Caenorhabditis elegans: one gene and its partners. The protein of the gene in region 1 purifies or fractionates together with the protein of each later gene. This does not show direct contact. Each region holds a gene or a part of one and is shown on either strand. Other genes may lie near its edges.

Region 1 (6,424 bases):
AAAATCAGGAATTTGTAGCTTTTTTTTCCATCTAAAACATAACTAAATTGAGAAGAAATCATCGAAAAATGATCTAAAATGAAGCTTTTCAAGCAGAAATTGTGAAAATTTCTGACAATTGATGTGTACTCTGTGGGAAAAATATTATCAGTTTGCGAAAATCGTCTAAAATCTGAAATTTCTTCTTCTCGCGGAGTACACGCGCCGCGTAAATCAACACATGGCCTAGCAATCCAGTTTTCTTCAGACTTTCCCATACCTTTAAGGTAGTCAAGCATTTTTTCACGTGTTGGGAGAGTGTATACGGCCACTTTGACAGCGGTACGAATGATCCATGGATGATGTCTGGAAATTAAAAATTCATAACATGAAATTCAGATTTTCAGAGCATACTTTGCCAGGGTTCCATCATAGCATTCCTTGCAAATCTTGGGAATGCTGTCATCGTTAGTGGCAGCCACTGCCGCATACATGAACTCGACGATGAACTCGAGAGCCCTGGAAATTCAAGGAAATTTTAAGATTTCTAGTCAAAAAGTACCGATTTAAATGTAAAATTGCCACTGCTCCACTCTCTTTTCCATTCTTCTCCATTGGTTTTTCACTGTGAACAAGAGCAACTACAGTTTTGTATCCTTCTGGATTCGCCGTATGAAGCTCCTTCAGAAGATCAATCTTCTCACGAACATCTTTCTCCACAAATTCAAAGATTTTTCCGAGCATTCCGATGAATTTGCACAGCTCTTCGTAGACTTCGACGAATGTCAGAAGCTCAACGTCATCCGGAGTCACTTCCGGGCAGTTTTCCACGTCACTTTTCTCCACGATAATGACGTCAGTGGAGAGTTTCTTCATTTGAGTGGCTACGAGCTTAATGCAGAAGGGTGAAGCGGTGTCTTCGGTCATTTTTAGCTGAAATTTTGGAATTTTATCGATTTTTACGAAAAAAAAATCACAAAAATAGAGAGAAAATAGCGAAAGGAGGCGATAAACTTTCATCAAATGTATTATAAAAGCCGTTGTTTTGATTTTAAACTGCTGATTCATAGTGAGCGCGTGATTCAAAAGCATCAGAAATCGCAGGAAAAACAAAACTGGAGACGACAAAATTATATTGAATTTATCTTTAGAAACAATGAGTAAAATTCATTTTTTTTAACGAAATTCCAGAACCAAATCTTCTTGAGTATTGACCAATATATTGGGAAATTATGTAAAAAATCAGCAATTTTTGATTTTCATGGATTTTCGCCGTATTCGGCGAATGTGAAAACGGAAAACATGCTTAAATAAATTATAAATTAGTATTTAAACAATTTGAAACATAAAAATCCGTTTAAAAACTTCTAAAACCGAAAAAAAAAAGCTGAAAAACGTGGAAAAAATTGATAAAAATTTATTTTTTCGATGGTAATGCAAGAGCGCCCCAATGCACACTCTCTTTTCGAATCATTCGAATGGCAATTTTCATTTATTTTTGTGTAAAAATATCGGTTTTCCTTGTTTTTTAATGCTTTTGCGCTGATTTTTGATGTAAAAGCTATTAGAAATTGTCTAAATTTTGTCGGAATGCATCGGGAACCATCACAATTTGGTTTTTTGGGTGTATTTCTCTTGTCTGAAAGTTTCCCGCTGGAGGTTAAACAATTGTTCCAAGAAATCGATAGAAACGTTTCAAGACATATTTAACGAAAAATATTTATTCTAAAAGATCAAGTACAGCACGAACATCAATTTTCCTCCGTTGAAAGCTGAAAATATACAGAATTTGTCAGATTCATTTATTTTTTCTCGGCAATCCCTCACCGATCCGCGCTTCTTTTTCCCTTTCTTCCGTCTCGCATCCGTCTTAATCTTCGCAATTTCTTGCTCCAAATGCCATTGAACAGGAGTCTCGCATGCCACGTCACCATTTGTCACGTCACCAACCGCCCGATACTGTAACCAAAGCGGTATCGAAGCGGAGACGACAAAGATGACGGCGAGCCCAATGTAGGACCAATAGAGCTCCGAAGTGTCCGTCTGATAGTGCTTGAAATAGTGTGAAACTTGATATTTGTCCATTTTTTGTTGTAGTTTTTCTCTGTATTTGAAATGAGAAATGTTAATTTTTTTCTTATTTTTCTCGAAAACGAACGTGAAATTTAAATTTAAAAATTAAAATTAGTTTTTTTTTCAGAAACTCAAACAAATCAAAAATGGATGCGCTACAAGCGTATGGCGGTAGCGACAGTGAACACTCAGATGATGACGCCAGCATGGATCAGGTCGCAAAAGGAAAATCATCGACATTGCTGGAAAGAGCCATAGTCACTGCTCCGGACGTTGAGTCGAAAAGTGCAATTCGACAAGTAGCGATTGTAGATCCAAAGACTAAAGAGATTAAATCAAATCCAAAATTTGATCAGCTCTTCAAGCCAGAATCTGGGCCAGTAAATCACTTTAAATCAGAGCAACAAAGATCACAAAAGAACACATTGACAGGATTCGTCGAGCCTGCACATCTCAATGAATTTCATTTTAATCGACAAATTCGAAGCTTTGATACTCTTGGGTACGCTCAGAATCCGACTGCCGAATCCGGTACAACTCATTTCGTGGGAGACGTCAAAAAAGCAGAAGCCGAGAAAGGAGTTTCACTTTTTGAATCGAAAAAGACTGGCGGGGAGAAGAGAAAACGAGTTAGAAATGATGATTCAGCAGATATTGATGGATATACTGGACCATGGAGTCGATTTATTGATGAAAAGACAGTCGCTAAACCAACACCAGAACTTCAGAAACAAATGGATGAAATTGTGAAGAAGAGGCAAGAAAAAAGCAGGCGATTCAAGAAAGAAAAGGAGGATAGTGAGCAAATGGCTGAAGAGAGCTCCACGCTTCATTGTACGAGTTTATTCTTGATTGTTTGGCTTGAAATGGCTCAAAAAGGCCTTTAAAGTTCCGGAAATGTGCTAAATTTAGCTGAAATTTTCCAATTTTCAGTTGATTTTTTGATCAGATTTGTGCTCTTTCTGACTGAAAATGTAATTAGATAAACAGAAAACGCTAGATAAACGTGAAAATGGAAGATTAATTGGATAAATTACGATTTTAGCTAAAATTGGCCAAATTTTAGAGCCATTTTATTAGATTTAAGCAAAATTTTAAGCTCATTTTAGCCATTTTCGAATATTTAACCCAATTTTTAAACGTTGCAGAGAAATTTCGTTTCTTTTTTTGAAATTTTTAACCGATTTTCAGCGAATTAACTGTTTTTCCGAGATTTTAAACTTTTATTTTTTATTTTTAGCGAAATTTTTTTGGCATTTCAAGGGAAATCTAAAACAATTTGTATTGATAAGAGAAAAAGATAGTTTTCCAAGATTTTTGCTAAATTTAATCTGATCATTTTAAACATTTTTAGTGAAATTTGGCCCAAGTTTGTTAACGATTTAAGATAAAATTTGCTATTTGTTGTTTAATTTCAACAATTTCAGCTCAGTTTAGCCATTTTTGGAATTTGATTCAATTTTTTAAAGAATTTTACCGAAATTTGGCACCTTATTTTTTAAATTATCTTGAAATTTTGAAACAATATTTCGCTTAACATGGATAAATTGCTTCGAAAATCGAAAATTTTGCATTCTGAATAAGAAATACCAATTTTAGAGTGTTTTCAGAAGATTTTTTTCGGTTTTCGAATGGTTCGATTTTTCGGTTATGCTCAAAAGTTTTTCTGGAAGTACATCAACTCTTCTAATAATTAATTTTTCAGTGAAAGAAGCCGAGGATTACCAAGGTCGCTCATTTCTTGTTCCACCATCATTCACCGGTGTCAATCTCCGAGAGGACTACGTTCCCGAGCGATGTTTCGTACCGAAAAAGCTTGTTCACACGTATCGAGGACATAACAAAGGTGTCAATTTCCTTCAATGGTTCCCGAAAAGTGCTCATTTATTCTTGTCATGCTCAATGGACACAAAAATCAAATTATGGGAAGTATATGATCGTCAGCGAGTTGTCAGAACATACGCAGGCCATAAGCTTCCTGTTCGTGAAGTTGCATTTAATAATGAGGGTACAGAATTCTTGTCAGCATCTTTTGATCGATACGTGAAGCTTTGGGATACTGAAACTGGACAAGTTAAGCAGAGATTTCATACTGGACACGTACCGTATTGCTTGAAATATCATCCAGATGATGATAAGAATCATATGTTTTTGGTTGGAATGCAGAATAAGAAGATTATTCAATGGGATTCAAGATCTGGAGAAATTGTTCAAGAATACGATCGTCACTTGCAGGCAGTCAATTCTATCACATTTTTCGACAAGAATCGTCGTTTCGCATCCACTTCTGATGATAAAAGTGTCAGAATTTGGGAATGGGAGATCCCAGTAGACACGAAACTTATTCAAAATGTTGGACTTCATGCGATTCCGACTATGACAAAGAGTCCTAATGGTAATTATTGAGGAACATTAAATTCAGGGAACGCGTATTGTGCAATGTATATGACGCGCAAAATATCTCGTAGCGAAAACTACAGTAATCCTTAAAATGATTACTGTAGCGCTGTTGTGTCGATTTACGGGCTCAATTTTCGGAACGAATTTCATTTCGAATAGTGAGCGATTTTTCATTTTTTCTCCAATTTTTCGCAAAATTGAAGGAAGCTGAAATACCGTTGCCACTATTTAAAAAAAAATATTTCAAAAATCGAGCCCGTAAATCAACACAAGCGCTACAGTAGTCATTTTAAGGGTTACTGTAGTTTTCGCTACGAGATATTTTGCGCGTCGAATATGTTGCTCAATACACATTCACAATGCTTTGTGCTCCTGTAATAAAAATACTTAAAGCTCAAATTTCTCTCATTTCTTTTCCAGATAAATGGGTTGTGGGACAATGCATGGACAATCGGATAGTCCTTTTCCAGCTTGTCGATGATAAGCTTCGATTCTCAAAAAAGAAGGCTTTCAGAGGACACAATGCGGCTGGATATGCGTGCAATATCGATTTTTCGCCGGATCAAAGTTTCCTAATCTCTGGTGATGCTGATGGAAAATTGTTTATTTGGGATTGGAGAACACACAAAATTGTTGGAAAGTAAGGTTTTCTATGTGGAAATTATTGATTTTTTGTTTAAAAAAAAGATGGAAACTGGTAAAAAATTTAAAAATCACGATTTTTCCGATTATTTTGCGCTTTAATATAAAAAAATGCTGAGAAAGCCCTGAATTTAATATAAAATTTTCTCTCATTTAATTAAATTTTTTCTAATTTAAAACATTCTAATTGAATAAAAAAGTGAAAAGTACCCAACTTTAACGATTTTTACCTTAAAAATTGAGTTTTAAACCCGAAAAATCCAAAAAATAAACTTTTTTTTCGATTTTAATGCGTCAAAATTTCTGAAAAAATCGTAATTTTTCAATTTTTCAATCGTTATTTTCAGTAAATACGCCACATTTTCCATTATTAAAATAAAAAACCCCAAAACCTCCAAAAAATGTATGATTTTCAGATGGAAAGCTCATGATAGCACTTGTATCGCAGCACTATGGCATCCACATGAAAAAAGCCGAATGATTACTGCTGGATGGGATGGTCTCATTAAAATGTGGAATTAATTGTTGATTTTTCCCTTTTTTCCCAAAAAAAAATTATTATTTTCCCAAATTTTGGCTCTTTTTCTCACGAGTTTTTGTCCCATCTCTCACATTTCCCTGTTCATTAAAAAAATTTTTTTTTTCGTAATAATGTTTTACTTTCTCCTGTTTCAATTATTTATTTTGTATCTTTGTTCATTTATTTGTTTTTTCTTCCAATTTTAAACCCTATTCTTACAGAACATTTCCGACACACGGAAATTGATAAAATTATTTTTATTTTTTAGCCTGAAATTTCAGTTTACCCAATTAATGGTTATCGACCAGATTTTATTTTAATTTTTTAAAGGAAAATTAGTTTTTTTTTCTATGAAAAAAAGTTATATATTTTTTTGGAAATTTATAACTCTTAAAAAAATTCAATTTTTTCAAATAAATAAAATTTCAGATGGCTTCTCAACCGGAGCTCATAATGGTTGACGAGCAAGTCGTCGCTTATGAAGTAGAAATTGATAGTTTTGATGTAAAATATGATGAAGAGGAACATGATGGTCAAGGGACACAAGATGAACCATTTTCTCATGGTACGGAACAGTTTTACGCTGAAAAATTCCAGAATTCCAAAAAATGAAACCTAAAATAGTGATAAAAAGGCGTTTTGAATATTAAATTGAAGAAAAAAATCAGCAAAAATTGTTCAAAATCAAGAATTTTAACGGAAAAGTGTAAAATCTTCTCCACGGGGAGTACACATGCTTCGTAAATCGACATATGGTCAATTTTAAAGTTTTGAAAATTGAAATGCCGGCAAAAAATCTTTTCTTGTTTT
Region 2 (5,254 bases), on another chromosome or scaffold:
ATTTTTGAAAATTTTTCGAAAATCAATAGCTCCACTAGAAATTAAGACATTTTGTGAAATTTCTTTGTAAAAGATTTATTGAAATTTAGAAAAAAGTGAAAAAAAAATTATTTCAAACCACTGTAAAGTACCCAGCTACAACACCCAACGATTTTTGGGGCGAGACCCATATTTTCAGAAATTTTTGAATTCTTTAGAATCTAGCCATGATTATACTTAAATAAAAACTATAAATGTGCGGATTTTCAATTTACAATAAATTTTAAATTTCAGAACAAAATCGGCAAGTTACTGGGGCTAACTCCAAAATGTTAAAAATGTTTAAAAAATGTTGAAAATTCTCGAAATTTTAACTTTGATCGAAATTGAAATTTTTTGCCGAATTTTTTCTGTAAAATTAAAGCTATCGTCAAACTCTTTTTTACAAAATCAATAAAATACACAAACTGAAAAAAAAACAATTCAGCTAGACAATTTGAGATTTTTCGATTTTTTTTCAAAAATTTTCAAAAACTGCACAACAAAATTCCCTTCGTTCTTTTTTCTCAAAGCCTTTTCTTCTCAAAATTTATCATTTTCCAGTTCTTCCAAGAATATGAGACCCTATCAAAAATGAATGAAAAAGGAAGATCATCAGCTTAAAAATTCATACAACAGTGGTCCCAAGTCCCCCAAAAAATTCCAAATTCATCAAAATTTGAGTGTTAGAAATTGTGATAAGGTCCTAGGATCCTATTGGTAGTAGGGAAAAACTTAAAATTTAACAAAAAAAAAGGAATTTTTTTGAAATTATACTAGTTTTGAATACATTTTAAGCAGTAAAGGCCAATAAATACACAGCTGAATACTAGTCACCGCAAGCTTCATCGCAGAGCTCTGAATCTGAATGCATTAGGAGGTTCTTTCCATTTCCATCGGTAAACCAATCCTTTTGCTCATTTCCAGATGGCTTTCTCTCTCGGCTCTCTCCACCTTACACACTATTTCCTTGGATTACTGTAGTTGGGCGGAGTCTCTAAGGGGTAACCTGATACTGTTTGCTGAGGGCTCACGGAGCCAGAGAGGGCAGATGGCTGGAAATTGGTGGAAGTGGTGGGGAGAAGAATGTGTTGTTGGAAAATGTAAAAATTAATTTTTAATTATTAATTTTTTAACATGTAGAAACTTTAAAAAATTCAACTGACTTGCGAAAAGGTTTTGAAAAATTACAAAAAAATTTCAAAGCAAGAAGTTTTTTTTCAATTGTTTTTTAATCGATTTCTCTCAAAAACCTGTAGAGCTACGAAAAAATTGTCAACAAACAAAGTATAGCTCTAAAAATTGTCTACAATTTGCTAGTGAACAAATTTTTGATAACTTTCCTGGTTTTTGAGATATACAGCTTTATCTACAAAAAACGATTTTTTTTCAAACTGTATTTTGAAAAACTGAACTAGAATAATAATTGGGATCCGAAAATTTTAATATTTTTGATGTTTTTTTGTGGAATATTCGGCAAACTTACCAAGCTCGGTGAATGGCAAATTTCGGAAAATTTGCCGCACACCCTGGCATGTACCTTTCACCTAGGTTCCTTTAGACACATGTATTTCCGCGACGAGATAATGTATCAAAAAGTTGTCAACTTACAAAGTGTATCAAATTTCAAGAGCTTAATTTTGTTTGTTGGCAATTTTTGATAACTCACCTGGTTTTTGAGATACGTACGTTTGAATTTTAAATTTAAAAAAAATTGTAGAAACTTTTTTTTGAAAACTTCTCACCAAAACTAGGTCTTTAGAGTCCTTTCTAATTTGCCTTTGGGCAATATGTTACTTTTTCCCCAGTAACAGTTAAATTATATGAAGTAGAAGTTTCGCGATGGGAAATATCAAAATGTAGAACATCATAAAAGCTATATTTTGCTAATTACCAGCAGAGATATAAGATTTTTAAACACTGTCAAGGAAATTTTTTATTTTGTATTTTATTAGTTTTCAACAGAATTTTAATATGTCAAAACCAATGTTCTTAACAATTTCGCAACATTTTAATTTAATTTCGTTTTTTCTCTGTTTTTCGGAATTTCATGTCGTCTCCTTTCCCATCCTAAACATGGAGCTCGCGGAGCAAAAAAAGAAACATAGGAGGGGCGGAGCATGTGTCAACACGGAGAGACGCAGAGAAGGCACGTCTTCAGAAAAGAGGCTCACAGAGCACAGAGCCCCACTTGTGTGTGTTCTGTTCCATCTCAACTCGTCGCCCAGCAAACACAACTTGTAGCTCCTCTTTTGCAAAATGGTGGGTTTTCTAGATTTTCTGAACAATGTTTATTTGAATGTTTAGATTCTTGAGATGCTAGAAATGAATTCTTGTGAAAAATGAATTTTGAAACATTTAAACCTCGCCATAAAAACTTTACGAATCTGATTTCTTGTTAAAACTACCAGTATCTAGAAAAATAACGTGAATACTAAAAATTTGTCAACAGACAAAATATAGACCTTGAAATTTCCTACATTTCGTTAGTTGAAACTTTTCTTCTAACTCTTTTCCCTGTGGAGATATACTCGTTCAAAATGTAGCAAGCCAAACAGTGTGGAAGGGGGCTGTCTGCGTCTCTTCTCGTGCCACACTATTCCAGTCCTCCTAACTTTAACAGGGCATATCTCCGTTCGGAAAGCAACTGTCAAAAAGTTGATAACTAACAAAATGTAGGAAATGTTAAGTGCTGCATTTTGTTTGTTGAAATTTTTTGATATCTCAGCTCTTCGCTGAGATACAAACACTTAAAGTTAGCGACGAGATAGTGTAAGAAGTGGTGAGACGCAGACGCCATCGCCGTCTGCGTATGCGTTATCAGGACACATCTTGGTTAGGAACCCTGATATCAAAACAAATTATTTTAACAATTTTAGGAAAAAAAAACAATTTTTCGAAATTTGATTTTGAAAAACTAGGATTTTAGGATTTATTAACTCTTCCACCTCAACACCCCTTCAACATTTTTTCGACTCATTGAGCACACCTGGTGCCAGGTCCGGACTTCCGGAGCCCCACCACATAAACACAGGAAATGTTGCCAATTCAACTGAAAAATGCTCCGCGCCGAGCAGGACGGGGCGAAGGAGGGTTGTTGAGGAGTTGAGACGAGCAACACAAAATGTATCCAATTTGGGCGAAAATTGACTTTTTTCTCTTTCTTTTTGCGGGTGGAACTTTAGGGAGGAGAGGACTATTCCTAGAAGAAATACGCACTCTTCGTGGCGAGACCCGCGAAATTTTATTGAAAATTGAGTTTTACAATAAAATAGTGGGTTTGAACAAATTTGAAATTCGCCACGAATGTAAATTTTTCAGAGGGTTTGATCTACCTGTCTACCTGTAATACATATCAGATATCGTAGTAAACTTTTTAAAATGAAAATTTGAAATTTTGATTCAAAAATTCAAATTCACCACGCTGTGAGCTTCAATTCAAGTATAGTCATGCCTAGGTTTCACTGAGAAAACTGGGTCCCACCGCGAAAACTACAGTACCCCATGTAGACACTTTCGTGACGGGACCCAAATCTAAAGGAACATAGCCAATATGGGGCTTAATTTGAAGCTCTTCGTTTGCTGAATTCAAATTTTATAATAAAACCCTTTAAAATCTACAAACAAAAAAAGTTATCTTGCAGAGAGAAGTAATTTCGATTCACATCGGACAAGCCGGAGTCCAAATCGGAAATGCTTGCTGGGAGCTCTACTGCCTGGAGCACGGAATTCAGCCCGATGGTCAAATGCCTTCTGACAAGTCCCTCGGAGGATCCGATGACTCTTTCAGCACTTTCTTCTCGGAAACTGGAAGTGGACGTCATGTGCCAAGAGCCGTCATGGTCGACTTGGAGCCAACTGTCATTGGTGGGGGATTTTTTTTAAGAAGATATTTTTGAATTTTCACTTAAATTTTTGAAATCAGTGTTAAAAGCCCGTTAAAATAAGTATAATCATGACTAGGTTCTGAAAATGCTGAAATTTTTGGGTCCCGTCACGAAAACGTATGTGGTACTGTAGCAATCTTACAGAGATGTTAAAAATTATTATTTTTGCGTAGTTCAGGACTTTACGCATTTATAACTTCTAATTTCCGCCCAAAACTTTAAGTTTTGGCACATTTATGGATTTTCGAAAAATTTCGAAAATCAAAAAATTTAAATTTTCAAAACGGCACAGCAATATTCCCAGTTTCACCGCAAGACCTAATTTTTTTGGTTTTCATATTTGGCATTTTGAGAACTTTCATTTGAATATGCAAACATAACTAAGCTATGAAAATTCTGAAGGGGTACTGTAGCTCTCGTGGCGGGACCAAACTTTTTTGGAAATCTGGTCATGATTATACGTATTTTGAAGGTGTCGGAAAGCTGAAAAAAATTTTAAAATTTTGAGTTAAAAGGTCTAACTTTATGACTTTTTGTGGTTCTGCGAAAAAACGCAATTGGAAAATTTTTGATATTAGGCTTCTCCGAAAACCCTAGAAAAACGTCACCAATTCCATTTCGGCTCAATTTTCAAAGAGCTCTTCCTCTTTTTGCTTCAAATGGCGAGCCCATTGTGATGTAATTAGACGCAGACACTACACATCTGCTAACATGAATGGATGTACTCTCTCCAAGAATTTAATGGAATTGGAGTAGGACACCCTATTAGGGATGCAAATGGAAAATGTTTTGCTATTTGACGGAGGAAATTTTGAACATTTTCAGAGAAATTTGGGGTATCTGAAAATACTATACAAAATTTCTCACATTTTGTTAGTTGAAACTTTTTTGATAGCTGTTTTCTACGCAGAGTTACAAACGTTTTAACGTGTCGTTGTAAAAGATCGTGGGAGAGAAAGAGACGCAGACAACGAGCGCGACTGCGTCTCCCCTCCCTCCACACTCTCTCACTGTTCTTACTTTAAACGCGTATATCTCCGCGATGAGGAGAGCTATCAAAAAGTTGACAACTACCAAGTTGTAGGAAATTTTGAGCTCTATAATATGTTAATAAACAATTTTTTATTAACTCAACTTCCGGCAAAGTTATAGGCGTTTCAAGTTAGTCTAGAAAATTTGTTTGTCGTTAGTTTTGCAACTAAAACCAAAAGTTCCATGTTCCATCAACTTCCCAAATAGACAAAGTATACTCTCGGGAGGAAGCTCATCTTCCCCTCTCACCAACAAACTTCTTCGTCTGCTATTCATATAAAAAAGAAGAAAAGATGAGAAAATGAAGGGAGGGAAAG
Region 3 (5,363 bases), on another chromosome or scaffold:
TAATTATTCACTTCGTAAAAGTTTTCTCGTTAAATTTGTCGAAATTTTAATTGAAATTTTTTTTTTCTTCGATTTTTCATGATTTGCTATCACATTTCTGCTTTTTATCAACCAATTTCAGCTTGTTTTGAGTTAATTCCTCACGAAATAGATTAATTTTTTAAAGGCGCATGCATTTTCCCACTGCCGATATCCCGTTGCGCACGAGTGTTTGCCTCTCGTGTACTTCTCTCGGACAATTGGCGGGACTTTCGAAATTCATTTTTTGAGGTTTTTCTATTGGATTTTTAGTGTTTTCCGGCAGTTTGTTGAATAATTTAGCTCAAAAATGTTCTAAATTGTGAGATTTATTCGTTTTTAAAGTATAAATTGTGTGACAAGGACCATTGCATCGCTGGGAAGAGCAATAGTTAACTATTTCGCTGGAATTCTAGTAATCGGACGATTCTGTGGACTTATTGAGAGGTTTTTGATATTTTCTTATTGAAGCGTGTTCCTATGCTGAATATTTAGCTGATTTTGCTGCAAAAACAAGTTTTTCGGCCATATGCAAACTGATTCTCGAAAAAAAATCCCAGTTCTCTTAATTTTTCCCATTAATTCTCCTCATTTACGCTTCCAACTCCTACATTTTTGCCTTAAAAGCTTTCCATCTTATTAGCTAGCCAAATGAAGCGAGAATAAACAATTTCTAGCTCTTCTCTCATCTCCAACCATCTGCGTCTCCGCTCTCTTCCCATTTTCGAAAATGTCTTGCTTTGGAGCAGATGGACCGTTGTCAAGGCATTTTTTATCGCTTTTTTTCGTTTTCCCGTGTTTTCAATCGATTTCTCGTTCTCATTTATTCAAAAACAATATTTTCAGCTTAAAATGGAACCGACAGCCGCCGAGAACAACAACAATGTGTGGCTATTCTACCCGAATCTCATCGGTTATGGACGCATAGTACTCGCCATTTTGGCCATGTACTACATGTCGTCAGCGCCATGGTGTGCAATGTTCTGGTGAGTTTTGGCGAGCTGGAAATCGATTTTTGCATCAAAAATTAGCTAATATCCATGTTTACTACTACTTTTCATCTCTTTTTCACTGAAATGTCGAGTATTTTTGCGATGCATGGTAAAGAAATCAAGGTGACCAGGTTTCTTTTCAATTTTCCCCCATAATTGAAGAGTTACAATGCCATCTGACAAGGTTTTTCAGAAGAAAAGTCCTGAAAATTAGATTTTCGTAATTAAAATTTCTCATAATTTCAGCTATGCACTCAGCGCCGGACTCGACGCGTTTGACGGATGGGCGGCACGGACCTACAATCAATCGAGCCGATTTGGAGCAATGCTCGATCAGCTCACCGATCGGTACGTTAAAATTTCTCAAATATGCTGGAAAATTCGAGAAAAAAATTGGATTCGGTAAAATTCTCATATTTTCAGCTGCGCCCTGCTGGCCTTGGTGATGGCGCTCTGCAAGTTCTACCCGGATCACTTGTTCCTGCTTCAACTGTCGGCCGTAATCGACATCGCATCTCACTGGCTTCACCTTCACGCCACTGATCTCTCCGGTGCCACGAGCCACAAGCAGTCTTCGAATTGGCTTCTGAACCTCTACTACACGGATCGATTGTTCCTCGGATTCATGTGCGGCGGAAATGAGGCTTTCTACATTTTGCTCTACATTCGCGCGTTCTGGGCTGGTAAATATTTGATTTATTTTTGCTATAATTTATTAATTCCTCTAATTTTCAGGACCACTGATCTTCAACTTCCACTTCATGTCGATCTTCCCACTCATCGCCTTCCCGATTGCCTTCGTCAAGTCCGCCATCTCCGTCGTCCATCTGTACACTGCCGCCGAGATGGTCGTTGCTCACGATGTGAAGCTCCGTGTTGAGGCTGCTCAGAAGGCCCAATGATCTCCGGATCTCCCCGAAGTCTCCAAGATTCTCCTCTGATTCCCCATGAGCTTTTGTATACACATTCCCCACTACTTAATTCACGAGCTTTACGCTTAGCTTTAGTCCTTTAGTGCTCTCGTCTCAGGAAAATGTTTCCGATTTCCATTTAATTCCAAATTTGAACATATTTCTCTGTAATTTTTTTCCCCGTAATTTTTTTTTTCGCAAATTCCCGATGTACTTACTCTGTAAAATAATATTTATTTTGTTTATTTTATTTTCCATTTATTATTCAATTCGAATTGGTTTTCAGCCAGCCGATTTTATCTATTTTCTCTCAATTTTTATTTCTTGTTTTGATTTTTTTAACCTTAATCCCACGATTTTTGCAGGATATTCGACTATCCCGAGTTGACTACAAACTACAATGGCCGACGAGCTAGCCCGAATCCAGCAGTATGAGTACCGGCAGAACTCCAACTTGGTTCTGTCGGTCGACTACAATCTGACGGATCGGCGTGGCAGAGAGGAGCCGACTGGCGAGGTGCTGCCGATCACGGATAAGGAGATGCGCAAAATGAAGATGGGTGACCGGGCGATCAAGGGAAAAGCGCCGGTGCAGGATCAGAAGAAGAAGAGAAAGAAGAAGGACGACGAGAAAGCACAACAGTTCGGCCGGAATGTCCTTGTCGACAATAATGAGCTCATGGGAGCCTACAAGCCCAGAACCCAGGAGACGAAGCAGACTTATGAAGTGATTTTGTCTTTCATTTTGGACGCACTTGGCGATGTTCCACGCGAGGTTCTGTGCGGAGCCGCTGACGAGGTGCTTCTCACGCTGAAAAACGACAAATTCCGAGATAAAGGTGAGGTGAAAATCGAAGATTTTCAATAAAATTTATATTTTTTTTTCAGAGAAGAAGAAAGAAGTGGAAGCTCTTCTGGGACCGCTCACCGACGATCGTATCGCAGTTCTCATCAACTTATCGAAGAAGATCAGCGATTTTTCGATCGAAGAGGAGAATAAGCCTGAAGGCGATGGAGACATCTACGAGAATGAGGGTGTAAATGTGCAGTTCGACTCGGATGAGGAAGAAGATGACGGTGGGATGGTTAATGAGATCAAAGGTGATAGTGAGGAGGAGAGTGAAGAGGAAGAAGGTGTGGATACAGATTACACGGCAACACTCAAAGGAGATGGTCATTTGACGGAAGATGAGCAAAAAGCACGAGGAATTCTTCATCCACGTGACATCGACGCTCATTGGATCCAAAGATCGCTCGCCAAGTACTTCAAAGATCCTCTGATCGCCCAACAGAAGCAAACGGAAGTCATCGGAATTCTCAAGAACGCCGCCGACGATCGTGACGCCGAGAATCAGCTTGTCCTGCTGTTAGGCTTCGATCAGTTCGAGTTCATCAAGTGCCTTCGCCAGAATCGTCTTATGATCCTCTACTGTACACTTTTGCGTCAGGCGAACGAGAAGGAGCGTCTCCAAATCGAAGATGATATGCGATCTCGTCCAGAGCTTCATCCGATTCTTGCACTTCTTCAGGAGACTGATGAGGGATCTGTTGTGCAGGTGGAAAAGTCGAAACGAGACGCGGAGAAGTCGAAGAAGGCCGCCACAGCAGCAAATGAAGCCATCAGTGCGGGACAGTGGCAGGCGGGCCGCAAGATGTTGGATCTAAACGATCTCACGTTCAGTCAAGGATCTCATTTGATGAGCAATAAAAGGTAAATACAATTTTATTTTAAAAGTACGATTTTCCATTAGAAAATTAAGGAAATTTGATTCATTATGCACTTTAAAAGTCCACATTCCCAAAAAACCCTAAAATTCTCAATTTTGCAGATGCGAGCTCCCCGACGGATCCTACCGCCGCCAGAAAAAGTCCTACGAAGAAATCCACGTACCAGCCCTCAAACCACGACCATTTGCTGAAGGAGAGAAGCTCGTCAGTGTCTCAGAGCTCCCGAAATGGGCCCAACCGGCTTTCGACGGCTACAAGTCGCTGAACAGGATCCAATCCCGACTCTGTGATTCAGCTCTTCGATCCAAAGAGCATCTCTTGCTCTGTGCTCCAACTGGAGCTGGAAAGACGAACGTGGCGCTGCTCACGATGCTCCAAGAAATCGGAAACCACTTGGCAGAGGATGGAAGTGTGAAGCTCGATGAGTTCAAGATTGTCTACATTGCTCCGATGAAGTCACTGGTTCAAGAGATGGTTGGAAGCTTCTCAAAACGTCTTGCTCCATTCGGAATCACTGTCGGCGAAATGACCGGAGATGCTCAAATGAGCAAAGAGCAGTTCATGGCGACACAAGTGATCGTTTGTACGCCGGAAAAGTATGATGTGGTGACGCGAAAAGGCGGAGAGAGAGCCTATAACCAGATGGTTCGGCTGTTGATCATTGATGAGATCCATCTGCTTCACGATGATCGTGGACCGGTGTTGGAGTCGATCGTCGTCAGAACGATTCGTCAAATGGAGCAGAATCACGATGAGTGCCGACTGGTCGGACTTTCAGCAACTCTTCCGAATTATCAAGATGTGGCGACGTTCTTGCGAGTGAAGCCTGAGCATTTGCACTTCTTTGATAACAGCTATCGTCCAGTTCCCCTCGAGCAACAATATATTGGAGTTACTGAGAAGAAGGCTTTGAAGAGGTTCCAGGCGATGAACGAAGTGGTGTACGACAAGATTATGGAGCACGCCGGAAAGAGCCAAGTCCTCGTTTTTGTGCATTCCCGAAAGGAAACTGCGAAAACCGCGAAAGCGATTCGTGACGCGTGCCTCGAGAAGGACACGCTGTCGGCGTTCATGCGTGAGGGCTCAGCGAGCACAGAAATCCTGAGAACCGAGGCCGAGCAGGCGAAGAATTTGGATTTGAAGGACCTCTTGCCGTATGGATTCGCTATTCATCACGCTGGAATGAACAGAGTTGATCGTACACTCGTCGAGGATTTGTTCGCTGATCGGCATATTCAGGTAGGGGAATCGAAAATTTCCCGAAAATATTTCAAATCTTCAAAATATTATTTTTCAGGTGCTCTTTTCGACTGCAACTCTCGCTTGGGGAGTCAATCTGCCGGCTCATACTGTAATCATCAAGGGAACTCAGATCTATAACCCGGAAAAAGGACGTTGGACAGAGCTCGGAGCACTCGACATCATGCAAATGCTCGGAAGAGCCGGACGTCCACAGTACGATGATCGCGGAGAGGGAATTCTCATCACAAATCACTCGGAGCTCCAGTATTATCTCTCGCTGATGAATCAACAGCTTCCTGTCGAGTCGCAGATGGTCTCACGGCTCACTGATATGCTCAACGCTGAGGTTGTGCTCGGCACTGTCAGTAGTGTGTCGGAGGCGACGAATTGGTTGGGTTACACTTTCCTTTTTGTGAGAATGTTGAAGAATCCGACGCTTTATGGAATTACACATGAGCAAGCGGTAGGTTAA

The links. The genes of interacting proteins can lie anywhere in the genome.
Region 2: the proteins of prp-17 (region 1) and mec-12 fractionate together in Caenorhabditis elegans (co-fractionation; one large-scale study listed by BioGRID). This does not show direct contact.
Region 3: the proteins of prp-17 (region 1) and snrp-200 fractionate together in Caenorhabditis elegans (co-fractionation; one large-scale study listed by BioGRID). This does not show direct contact.

The regions. Positions count from the first base shown.
Region 1 is NC_003279.8:10,934,642-10,941,065, forward strand, and holds prp-17 (Pre-mRNA-processing factor 17), read left to right. Parts: upstream 1-2,173; 5' UTR 2,174-2,198; coding exon 2,199-2,886; intron 2,887-3,757; coding exon 3,758-4,447; intron 4,448-4,872; coding exon 4,873-5,092; intron 5,093-5,510; coding exon 5,511-5,616; 3' UTR 5,617-5,880; downstream 5,881-6,424. Other genes in the region: tag-296 (Glycolipid transfer protein domain-containing protein), read right to left, coding at 260-345, 394-498, 542-906; F49D11.14 (uncharacterized protein), read right to left, coding at 1,731-1,751, 1,807-2,064; Y95D11A.3 (BZIP domain-containing protein), read left to right, coding at 6,044-6,179.
Region 2 is NC_003281.10:3,136,158-3,141,411, reverse strand, and holds the start of mec-12 (Detyrosinated tubulin alpha-3 chain), read left to right. Parts: upstream 1-2,177; 5' UTR 2,178-2,277; coding exon 2,278-2,280; intron 2,281-3,662; coding exon 3,663-3,885; intron 3,886-5,254.
Region 3 is NC_003280.10:12,733,834-12,739,196, reverse strand, and holds the start of snrp-200 (U5 small nuclear ribonucleoprotein 200 kDa helicase), read left to right. Parts: upstream 1-2,286; 5' UTR 2,287-2,321; coding exon 2,322-2,760; intron 2,761-2,809; coding exon 2,810-3,632; intron 3,633-3,750; coding exon 3,751-4,888; intron 4,889-4,946; coding exon 4,947-5,354; intron 5,355-5,363. Other genes in the region: pisy-1 (CDP-diacylglycerol--inositol 3-phosphatidyltransferase), read left to right, coding at 871-1,004, 1,257-1,358, 1,434-1,693, 1,746-1,912. UniProt on the Caenorhabditis elegans protein: Catalyzes the ATP-dependent unwinding of U4/U6 RNA duplices, an essential step in the assembly of a catalytically active spliceosome. Plays a role in pre-mRNA splicing.